Linked DNA regions of Sus scrofa. The protein of the gene in region 1 interacts with the protein of each later gene in a biochemical or structural test. Links are inferred from orthologs where the notes say so. Each region holds a gene or a part of one and is shown on either strand. Other genes may lie near its edges.

Evidence for each region. The genes of interacting proteins can lie anywhere in the genome.
Region 2: the proteins of CDC34 (region 1) and SKP2 form a complex in vitro, tested with the Homo sapiens proteins (3 studies listed by BioGRID, with this or other methods). The link is inferred for Sus scrofa from reciprocal best matches to the Homo sapiens genes CDC34 and SKP2.

The regions. Positions count from the first base shown.
Region 1 is NC_010444.4:77,765,397-77,769,633, forward strand, and holds the start of CDC34 (ubiquitin-conjugating enzyme E2 R1), read right to left. Parts: upstream 2,937-4,237; 5' UTR 2,791-2,936; coding exon 2,614-2,790; intron 1-2,613. UniProt on the Homo sapiens protein: E2 ubiquitin-conjugating enzyme that accepts ubiquitin from an E1 ubiquitin-activating protein, and catalyzes its covalent attachment to other proteins by an E3 ubiquitin-protein ligase complex. In vitro catalyzes 'Lys-48'-linked polyubiquitination.
Region 2 is NC_010458.4:21,461,989-21,466,102, forward strand, and holds the start of SKP2 (S-phase kinase-associated protein 2), read left to right. Parts: upstream 1-1,281; 5' UTR 1,282-1,289; coding exon 1,290-1,297; intron 1,298-1,798; coding exon 1,799-2,070; intron 2,071-4,114. UniProt on the Homo sapiens protein: Substrate recognition component of a SCF (SKP1-CUL1-F-box protein) E3 ubiquitin-protein ligase complex which mediates the ubiquitination and subsequent proteasomal degradation of target proteins involved in cell cycle progression, signal transduction and transcription.

The DNA.
Region 1 (4,237 bases):
GGTGGGAGGCAGAGAGCATGGGCTCAGTAGGGCCAGAGCAGGCTGGCCAGGGACCTCGCTGGCCGGCCACAGCTCACACAAACCTGGGGCTTTTTTGGGGTCACCAGAGCTGTCCCCGGTCCCTGCCTGCTGCTGGGGGGCATGGGCACTGCCAGGGAGTAGCTCCAGTCCTGTGGGCCTGGGGGAGGGGCGGGCACATGCCAGCAGGGGCCTGGGCCTCAGCTTCCAGCTTGTGGGGGGATTAAAATAGCCGCGTGTTCACCGGGCAGTCATCCCCACACCTCCCTGGGCAGGCGCCCGCCGTGGGCGGACATGAGTCAGCGCTGGGCGGAGAGGCTCTCTACCCAAAGGTGTCGGTCCTGGCGGGGGGGTCAGGAAGGCGGACAGGAAGGTCACGGGGCAGATGGGGGAGGGCCCTATGGGTGAAAGCTGTGCCTTGGCTTCAGCCTATTTAAGCCCTAGTCCCAGGATCTGGTGGTGCTTCAGGCTCTCAGAGGCCAGGCAGCATACTAGGGGCCACACTGGATACACTGCTGTAGGTCCTTCAACCCATCTGTGGAGAACTGCTCTCCTATGCTGGAGACACAAGGGAAGTCCCTCTGCCAGCCTGGAACTCAAGCCTCAGACTCTGCCCTGGGGTCTCCGAAGCCCAGTGCTGGGTTTCTAAGTGACAGCCCAAGACCAACTGAAGCTTCCTTAGCAAGGCAGGGTGACAGGCCTCCCCTGACTAAGCACCTAGCACCCACCAAGTCCCAGGGTGCCTTTATTGCTGTGCAAACTGCAGCTCAGAAAAGGAGAGCACTTTGCCTGAGGGCACAGAACTCTGGAGGGGCTCCCAAACTTGGGTTTCCAGGGCATGCCTTCATCACCTGCTGCCCAGGACCCTCTGGCTCATATGGGGAAGTGGGTGAGGCCTGGAAAACTCAGAGGAGGAGGCTGGGAAGCGATGGTGGACCCCCTGGCACTTCCAGCCCCTGCTATTTCTGCATCTTTTGGGACACGAGGATCAGAGACCACCGTGGGTCCCAAGCTGGCCTGAGGACAGATGCTATAGCAGGCAGATGAGAAATGTGCAGCACCCTGAACCCAGTCCTTCCTTCTTCAGAAAAACAGGATTATTCCCCCCAAAGCCAGCCTAGAAGGCCCTACCCACAATCCCCTGTAAACAGAGAGTAATAGCCAGAACCACCCCCCTATTCCCCCCTCCCCATCCTTTCCTTTCCTTCCAGAGTCCTGGCCTGGCTGAAGAGTAGGACTCTGCTCTCCCAGCTCTGAGCACCGGCCCTTATCCTCACAGCCAGTTGTACCCAGAAGCACACAAAAGAGACCAGGGAGGGAGGCTGGTTAGATCACTTAGTGAGCAACCCTAAATCCGTGCCCTGCATGGGGAAGATGGATTCCAACCATAGAACTCAGCCCAGAGCTGTCCACACTCATCCCCCCATCCCACCTCAGCAATGCCAGTAGCTCAGGCTGTTCTGTTGAGGTTGCTGAACTAGCCAAAAGTGCAAACACAGAATCTGTCCAGGCGGCATCAGCCTCCCCACCCCCCAACCCAGGCCTCCCAGCCAGGCCTGCAGGGCTCTTGGCAGGGTGTGTGTGTGTGTGTTCGTTCCCAGCTGATGGTTCAGGCCCCATCTCTCACCCAAGGAGACCCCCTGCCTTGTCCCTCTGGCTCAAGGAGCAAAGTCCTTTTGATCTGGGAGGGGTCCCTCAAGACCACGGCTAGACTCAGATCCTCCCCAGGTTTTGGCTGGAGTCCATGACACACAAGTCCCCAGGAAAACACTTGCCTCCCAGCTCTGACAACAAGAGAGAACTGCTTGGATTTAAGCCACCACCGAGGGCCCAGAAACCACGAGAGCTTGAGATTCGGGCCACCACCGAGGGCCCAGAAACCACGAGAGCTTGAGATTCGGGCCCAAGAAGCCAACGACTCATTGGAACCTGAAAAAGGCCAGGACCCCAACCTTCTGAGGTGGAACCTGGGGTGGGTTCTGCTCCGTGGTTTCCAGGGACAGGGAGGAGGGTGGGAGTGACCGTCAGAGAGAGCAGGTTACATAAAGCTCAGGATGAAGTCAAGAGGGCCTGGCCGGCTGCTATCGGCAAGGGTGGACGCTTTCCAAGCAGGTCCCTGCTGCCAAGGCCCCATCCTGGCCTCTGTTGGAACCCGAGCAGGAGGCCGAGCCAGTCCCCAGGCCAGCGGGCCTCCCTCCCCCACTCCCTCCCTTCCTAAGCCGGCGCTCCCCGCAACAGTATTGGCTGGTTGTGGGGAGGCTTTTTTGTCTCCTCTGAGCAGCGAGCAGGGCCGGGAGGCGGGGAACACTAAGGGCTGGGGGAAGCAAGAACCCTGCACCCAGAGAAACACGGAGGGTCCTAGGTTTCCTCTCGGGGGCCTGAAGCGGGCTTAGAGGGGATGGGCGCTTCTCGGGGACTCCTGAGGCCAGACGGGGAAGAAGGGGTGACTGAGAGCCCCGAACTCTCCGGAGGCGGCCAGGCAGTGGAGCAGAGGGAGGGGGCCCCGCGAGGGGAGCGGGCAGGGAGCAGAGGTGGAGGAGGGGCCCCGAGGACCCGGAGCAGGGTCGCTCGCCCGCCCCCCTCTTCGCTGCTCACCTTGAAGTAGCCGCCCTCGTAGTAGGTGTTGGGGGGCCCGAAGATGGCCACCTCCCAGTTGTACAGATCGCCCTCGTCCACCAGGGTCACCCGGAAGCCCTCCACCGGCTCCTCCTGCAGCCCCTTGAGCTCCAGCAGCAGCGCCTTCTGCGAGCTGGGCACCAGCGGCCGGGCCATGGCGGCGGCGGACGGGCCCGGGTCCGGGGCCGGGGCAGGGGGCGCGCGGGGCCGCGGGGCCGCGGGACCGCGGGACGGGCCGGGGCCGGGGCCGCCTTCCTCCTCTGCGCCGCCGCCGCCGCCGCCGCCGCCGCCGCCCGGGGCACCCGGGGGCTCCACTCGCTCTGCGCCGCCGCCCGGCCCTCGCCTCGGCCGCCGCGCCCCGCCCCCGCCGCCGCCCGCGCCTGCGCGCAGCCTGCCCCGACCGCGCCTGCGCGCCCGCCCGCGGGGCACGATGGGAAGCGATCCCTCCCCCGGCCGCCGAGCGCGCCGCCGGGAGCCGGGGGCCGCGCGCGCAGGCGCCTTGGCGCTTCCGAGGCCCTGGGAGGCCTCCGCCGCCCCGGCTCTACGAGCTCCCCTGATGCCTGTGCGCGGGGCCGCGGGCAGGGCTGCGCTGCGCTGCCCCGCCCGGCTCGCGGCCCTTTTGGGCCTTTTTGTGACGTCCCGGCGCGGGGCGGGGCCGGGGCGGGGCCGGCTCGAGCCTCAGTTTCCATACTCATGACCCGGGCCCAGGCTGCCTCGGGCCAGCCAAGAGGGTCCCTCCACTTCCGGCCGTCTTCCCACTTAGGGTGTGCTCTGCCCCACAGTCTCGGGACCTGTTCTGGCCAAACCCCAGATAAAAACTTGACCCCAGCTGTGTCCATATCAGGCTGACCTTTGACTCCAGCTAGCCGGGGGGTGGGGGGGTCTGGGCTTCCCTCCACCTTCCGACCCCGCCTGGCTGACCTGACAGCACTCTGGCCCAGACACCCACACAGCTCTGGGTCGGAGAGGTGTGTATGTGCGCGCGCTCGGACCTGGTCTTTAGCCTTGCAGGTCCGCAGGTGACAGCTCCCCACGAGGGTGGGCATGGCCCCCGTGGCCTGTGATGGCCTTGCTGGCAGGTGACCCGGGCAGCCAGCAGCTGCACCAACACTTGAGGCTGGGCAGAGCTGATTCCCTCCCCCGCCTGCCTGTCACCTGGCCCTGGGCTGGCCCCAGCTGAGGACAGGCAGGTAAATCTGGAGAAAAAAAAAATGTCATCTCTGGGAATGAGCAAAGGAGCCTGAGGAAGAGCCATGGGCAGAGCAGTAGCTTCAGTGGCTCTCATCAATACAGGGGCTTGCCCTGCACACCAGGGGACCTGGAGGGGCCTCCCCTATAGGATGGGCCACACACACTTTGTCCAGAGTTCCAAGTATTCTCTGTCCCTTGTTCTCTGCCAGTGACACCAATGTCATAGTGTTGGTCAGTGGCAGCTTGCTGATAAATAGTAATTAGAATTAATTATGATTCTTCCAGAGAAGTTTCCCAAGATGTATCCCCATGTATATGGCAGGAATTATTGGGTGGGTGGGGAATAGGTAAAGGGAGGTACCAGGTTTACATACTCTGCATTCGGTCCCACTGAGGCTTTGTCTCCCAAGAC
Region 2 (4,114 bases), on another chromosome or scaffold:
TCCCCTTCTCTCTCTCTCACCCTGTTTTCCCAGGGTCACAGTTATAGTACAGTTTGCACAGTGGATTTCGCCCGGTCATCATACTCGGAATATGGCACGCTCTCTAACCATCTCCAAACTCTTCTCCGCGGAGGTAGGCAAAAGCAGCCTGCTTTTCAGAGATTAGGCAATCAGCAGCAGCCGGTCGAGAGAGAGCAACCGATAGGCTTTGTTAGTGGCCCCTAGCGTATACGGATACAGTCATGCTAGTGTTGTAAGACTGCTCAAGGCTGCAAAGGGATGCTCAGCTTTGCCACTGCGGACAGGAACACAGCGGTCTCCTGATCCCCTAAAATTCAACCACCACCTTTGACTCAAACTGCGCCTTCACTTACAAAATGCTCTCACTCATGTTCCTCTGGTTTGACCCTGACGGCGGCAAGATGTGAAATAATCCTTCGTTGCCATAGTGCCTATTTTACAGATCAGGAAAGGATCTTGTCCACAGACCCAATCCTAAGGGCTGCCCTCTCCCGGATGGAGGAAGCAGCTCCCGGCGGAGGGGTAGACACAGGCAGGTGTGACGCCCGCGGCCGCAACCTCTCACCTGGCGGGCGGGGCGGGCCACTGCCTCCACTCAGCGGCCAGGAACGTAGGCCCCGCGGCGGCGGCCTCTCGGGGTCTCGTGGGTCCCTCTCTCGCCGCCTGCACTTGGCCCCAGATCCCAAAATGTCTCAGGCTCTCCCCCCTCAGGCTCACCGTCCGATCTCGCCGGACAGATTCCAGAAGGACCTGGAAACCCCCTGTCCGCCACAGCCGTCTGGGGTCTGGAACCCACGCTCTTTGGCGACGGCGGTGGCTGTCACCAGAAGGCCTAGGGGTTCCCGGGAAAAGAAAACCTGTCGCCCGTCAAGCTGCTGCCATAGCCCGGTCGGCTGGAGCACCGCCCACTTCCGCCTCCCCGCCTACCCTGTGGGCCGTCCAGTGCCGCAACCGCGGGGGGTTGTGGGTATATGGAAGGCGGGGAAAGCTGCGAGGAAAGGAAGTAGTGGCGAGGCAGCCGGATTGCCAGGCAGGGAGAAAACTACAATTCCCAGAAGGCAGCGGGGCCGCAGACGGTAGCGGGGAGGAGAGCGGGCAGAAGTTTTCTGCGCGCGCGGTGGGGATGGAACGTTGATAGAGTTCGCGGGTCTCACTGCTGGGGGCTGGAGCCACACGCAGTGCGCCGCCGCGCGCCAAAGCGGGAATCCGGGAGGCGGGCACCTCTGCAATTAATGCACGCGTTTAAAACTCCCGAACCTGCGGACGCCATGCACAGGTAAACCGTTTGCAGAAAGGGGCAGACCGTGAGTGGACCATCTTAATTCTTTTAGGCCGCGAGTTTTGCTACTTCCTAATATTGTTTGTAATGCTGCAATGTGAATGGTTGCTTAACCTCCTCTTTGGGAAAACGTGGATGGGTGGATGCTTTAGTGCTGTGATCAGCGTGCGATATTATTTGGCTTCCCTTATTGGGCTTTTCTGCTCCTGTTTTCAATCACTGTATAATTGCCCTCTTCTTATCTGTTCCATCCACTTTGAGACATTCTTGAGGCCTTCTGCATGATCGTAAATCAAAAAGCCTTTTCGATTTGTTCGGTGTGTTTGGTTCTTTTTTCTTTCATTCTTGGGAACTCGCCGCCGGCACTTAAAATGCAAGTTCAGTTAGCTGCTGTGAGCGTTTTCGGTAATGCATAAGTTGCAGCTTCCTTTAGGCCTGTTTGGAATTATTCACGGGTGTGTTTTTTAAAGGAACGGGGGCTATTGTGCTTATCTGCAGGAAGCACCTCCAGGAGATTCCCGACCAGAGTAGCAACGTTACCACCAGCTTCACGTGGGGATGGGATTCTAGCAAGACTTCTGAACTGCTTTCAGGCATGGGGGTCTCTGCCTTGGAGAAGGAGGAGGTGGACAGTGAGAACATCCCCCAGGAACTGCTTTCAAACCTGGGCCACCCGCAGAGCCCTCCGCGAAAACGGCTGAAGAGCAAAGGGAATGAAAAGGACTTTGTGATCGTCCGCAGACCTAAGCTAAATCGAGAGAACTTTCCAGGTAAGGTATGAGGGTCAAACTATCGGTGCAGTAAGTGGTAGCTTGAAATATTTTGTTGGTAAACCTTTGTTTAAGGATCATTAGGATGGAGCGCTTTTAAAATTGCCTAATTTTGAAGTTATTTTCCAAAGAGATGAGAAAATTCGTTGCTTTAGAAGTTAACAGAAATGTTGGTAGCTGTATATCTTAAGATGCACAATAGACTTTGAATCCAGGAGAATCCGTTCCTGCCTTTCTCTTTAGGAAGGACTCTGCCTGGTCTAAGGCCAGCTTAGTGCCACTGACAAATGAGAACAAAGAAATGATCCTTTAGGATTCTTTTTGTTTATATTCTGCTGCTCTGGTTGAGGTTTTTGCCAAAATCAACTTTACTTATTTGTCAAGGGATTGCTAAAGTGAATGTTGAACTAGGTGGAAGAAGAGACTTCTCTTCCCGGGTCCATCCCCAAGTGGGCTTATTCTGGTATGCTCTGTCTCCATGACTGCCCGTGTTATCTGTTCAATTGCCCAGCCCCCAAACCTGAAAATCAGTCAGATTCCCACCAACCCCAACATCCATCCAATCATTACATCTTTCCCTTTTGTGTCCTGAATATTTCTCAAGCTGTCAACATCTGAATATTGGAATGGACTCATAATTCCAGCCTTATCCTCCCCAGATCCATCCCCCAGAGCCAGAGTGGACTGACTGAAATGTAAAACGCACCACGTCATTCCCCTCTAATAGCTCTCTGTTACCAGGCTTCTCAGGCAGATGAGTAAGTGCCTCCCAGAGTGGATCCAGAACTCCAGGAGTATGCAAAGCCATAGGGTAAACAGTGCACTGACCTGGGGTTATCAGTTTTTCTTGCTGGTAAACCATGTAAACCATTAATTCAGCAAATATTTGCTGAGCACATTTTATATGCTAGTCATTGTTCTAGGTACTGGGGATATAGCATTGAGCAAAACAAAAACATTTCCACCCTCGTGGAGTTTCTGCTTCGGAGAGAGGATGCAGGAAACATAAATCTGGTGTATGGTATACTAGAATACGTGCTATGGATAAAAGCAAAAATGGAACAAGCCAAAAGGGATTGGAGGTCCTTGGGTGGGAAGCTGGTTTGCAATTTTAAGCAGGGCGTTAAGGGAAAACTTCACTTGGACAGCAAGCTTTAAGCAGAAGCATAAAGGAGACGAAGGAATGTGCCATGCACATACCTTGGGGAAGAGAACCCCAAGCAGAGGGAACAGCTAGTGGAAAGACCCTGGGGCATAGGAATGTCATGTTTTTTCAAGGAACTACGTGGAAGCCATATTCCAAGAGTGGATTAGCAAAGGAGAAGGTAGTGGGAGATGGGCTAGAGGTGCTGTTGAGCGGAGTTGTGACGTGACCTTTTAAAAGGACACACTGATGTGTTGAGATGAAACTGTAGGGTGTTGCAAATAAAAACTCAGAGCCTTGTTGAGAGGTGTGGGAGTGATGATAGGCAGTGGTCAGCTTCTGAATAGATTCGAACATGTGAGTGGACAGAGTTAGGAGGCTTTGAAAGTGTCTGTAGAAGAGGTGATCTTGTTCTAAGCTGAAACTGGAGGTGATAGAAGAAGAGACAGATACAAGAAATAAAGATGAAGACTTGCAGAGTGAGGGTAAATAAGTATATACCTAAATTCCCCATCTGGCTTTCTTTGAGGAAAGGTTGACTGGTTGCTTGCTTGCTTACTTTAAAAAAATAATATATATATATATATAGTTTTTTTAAATTTTTTATTATTACTTAATGAATTTTATTACATTTATAGGTGTACAACAGTCATCACAACCAAATTTTACAGCATTTCCATCCCAAACTTTTTTTTTTTTTTTTTTTTTTTTTGCTTTTAACTCTTTCTTTAGGAAAGAGAACCTTCAGGTTACCGTCTGGGGATCTCTATTAGGTGTTGGATTCATTAGAAAGGCAGTAAAGGATTGTGGTGGAGTCAGACAAATCTGGCTTTGCATCCTCATTCTGCTGTTTACCAAGCCTGGGAAGTTATTTGAGCTCTCAGTGCCTTAATTTCTCTG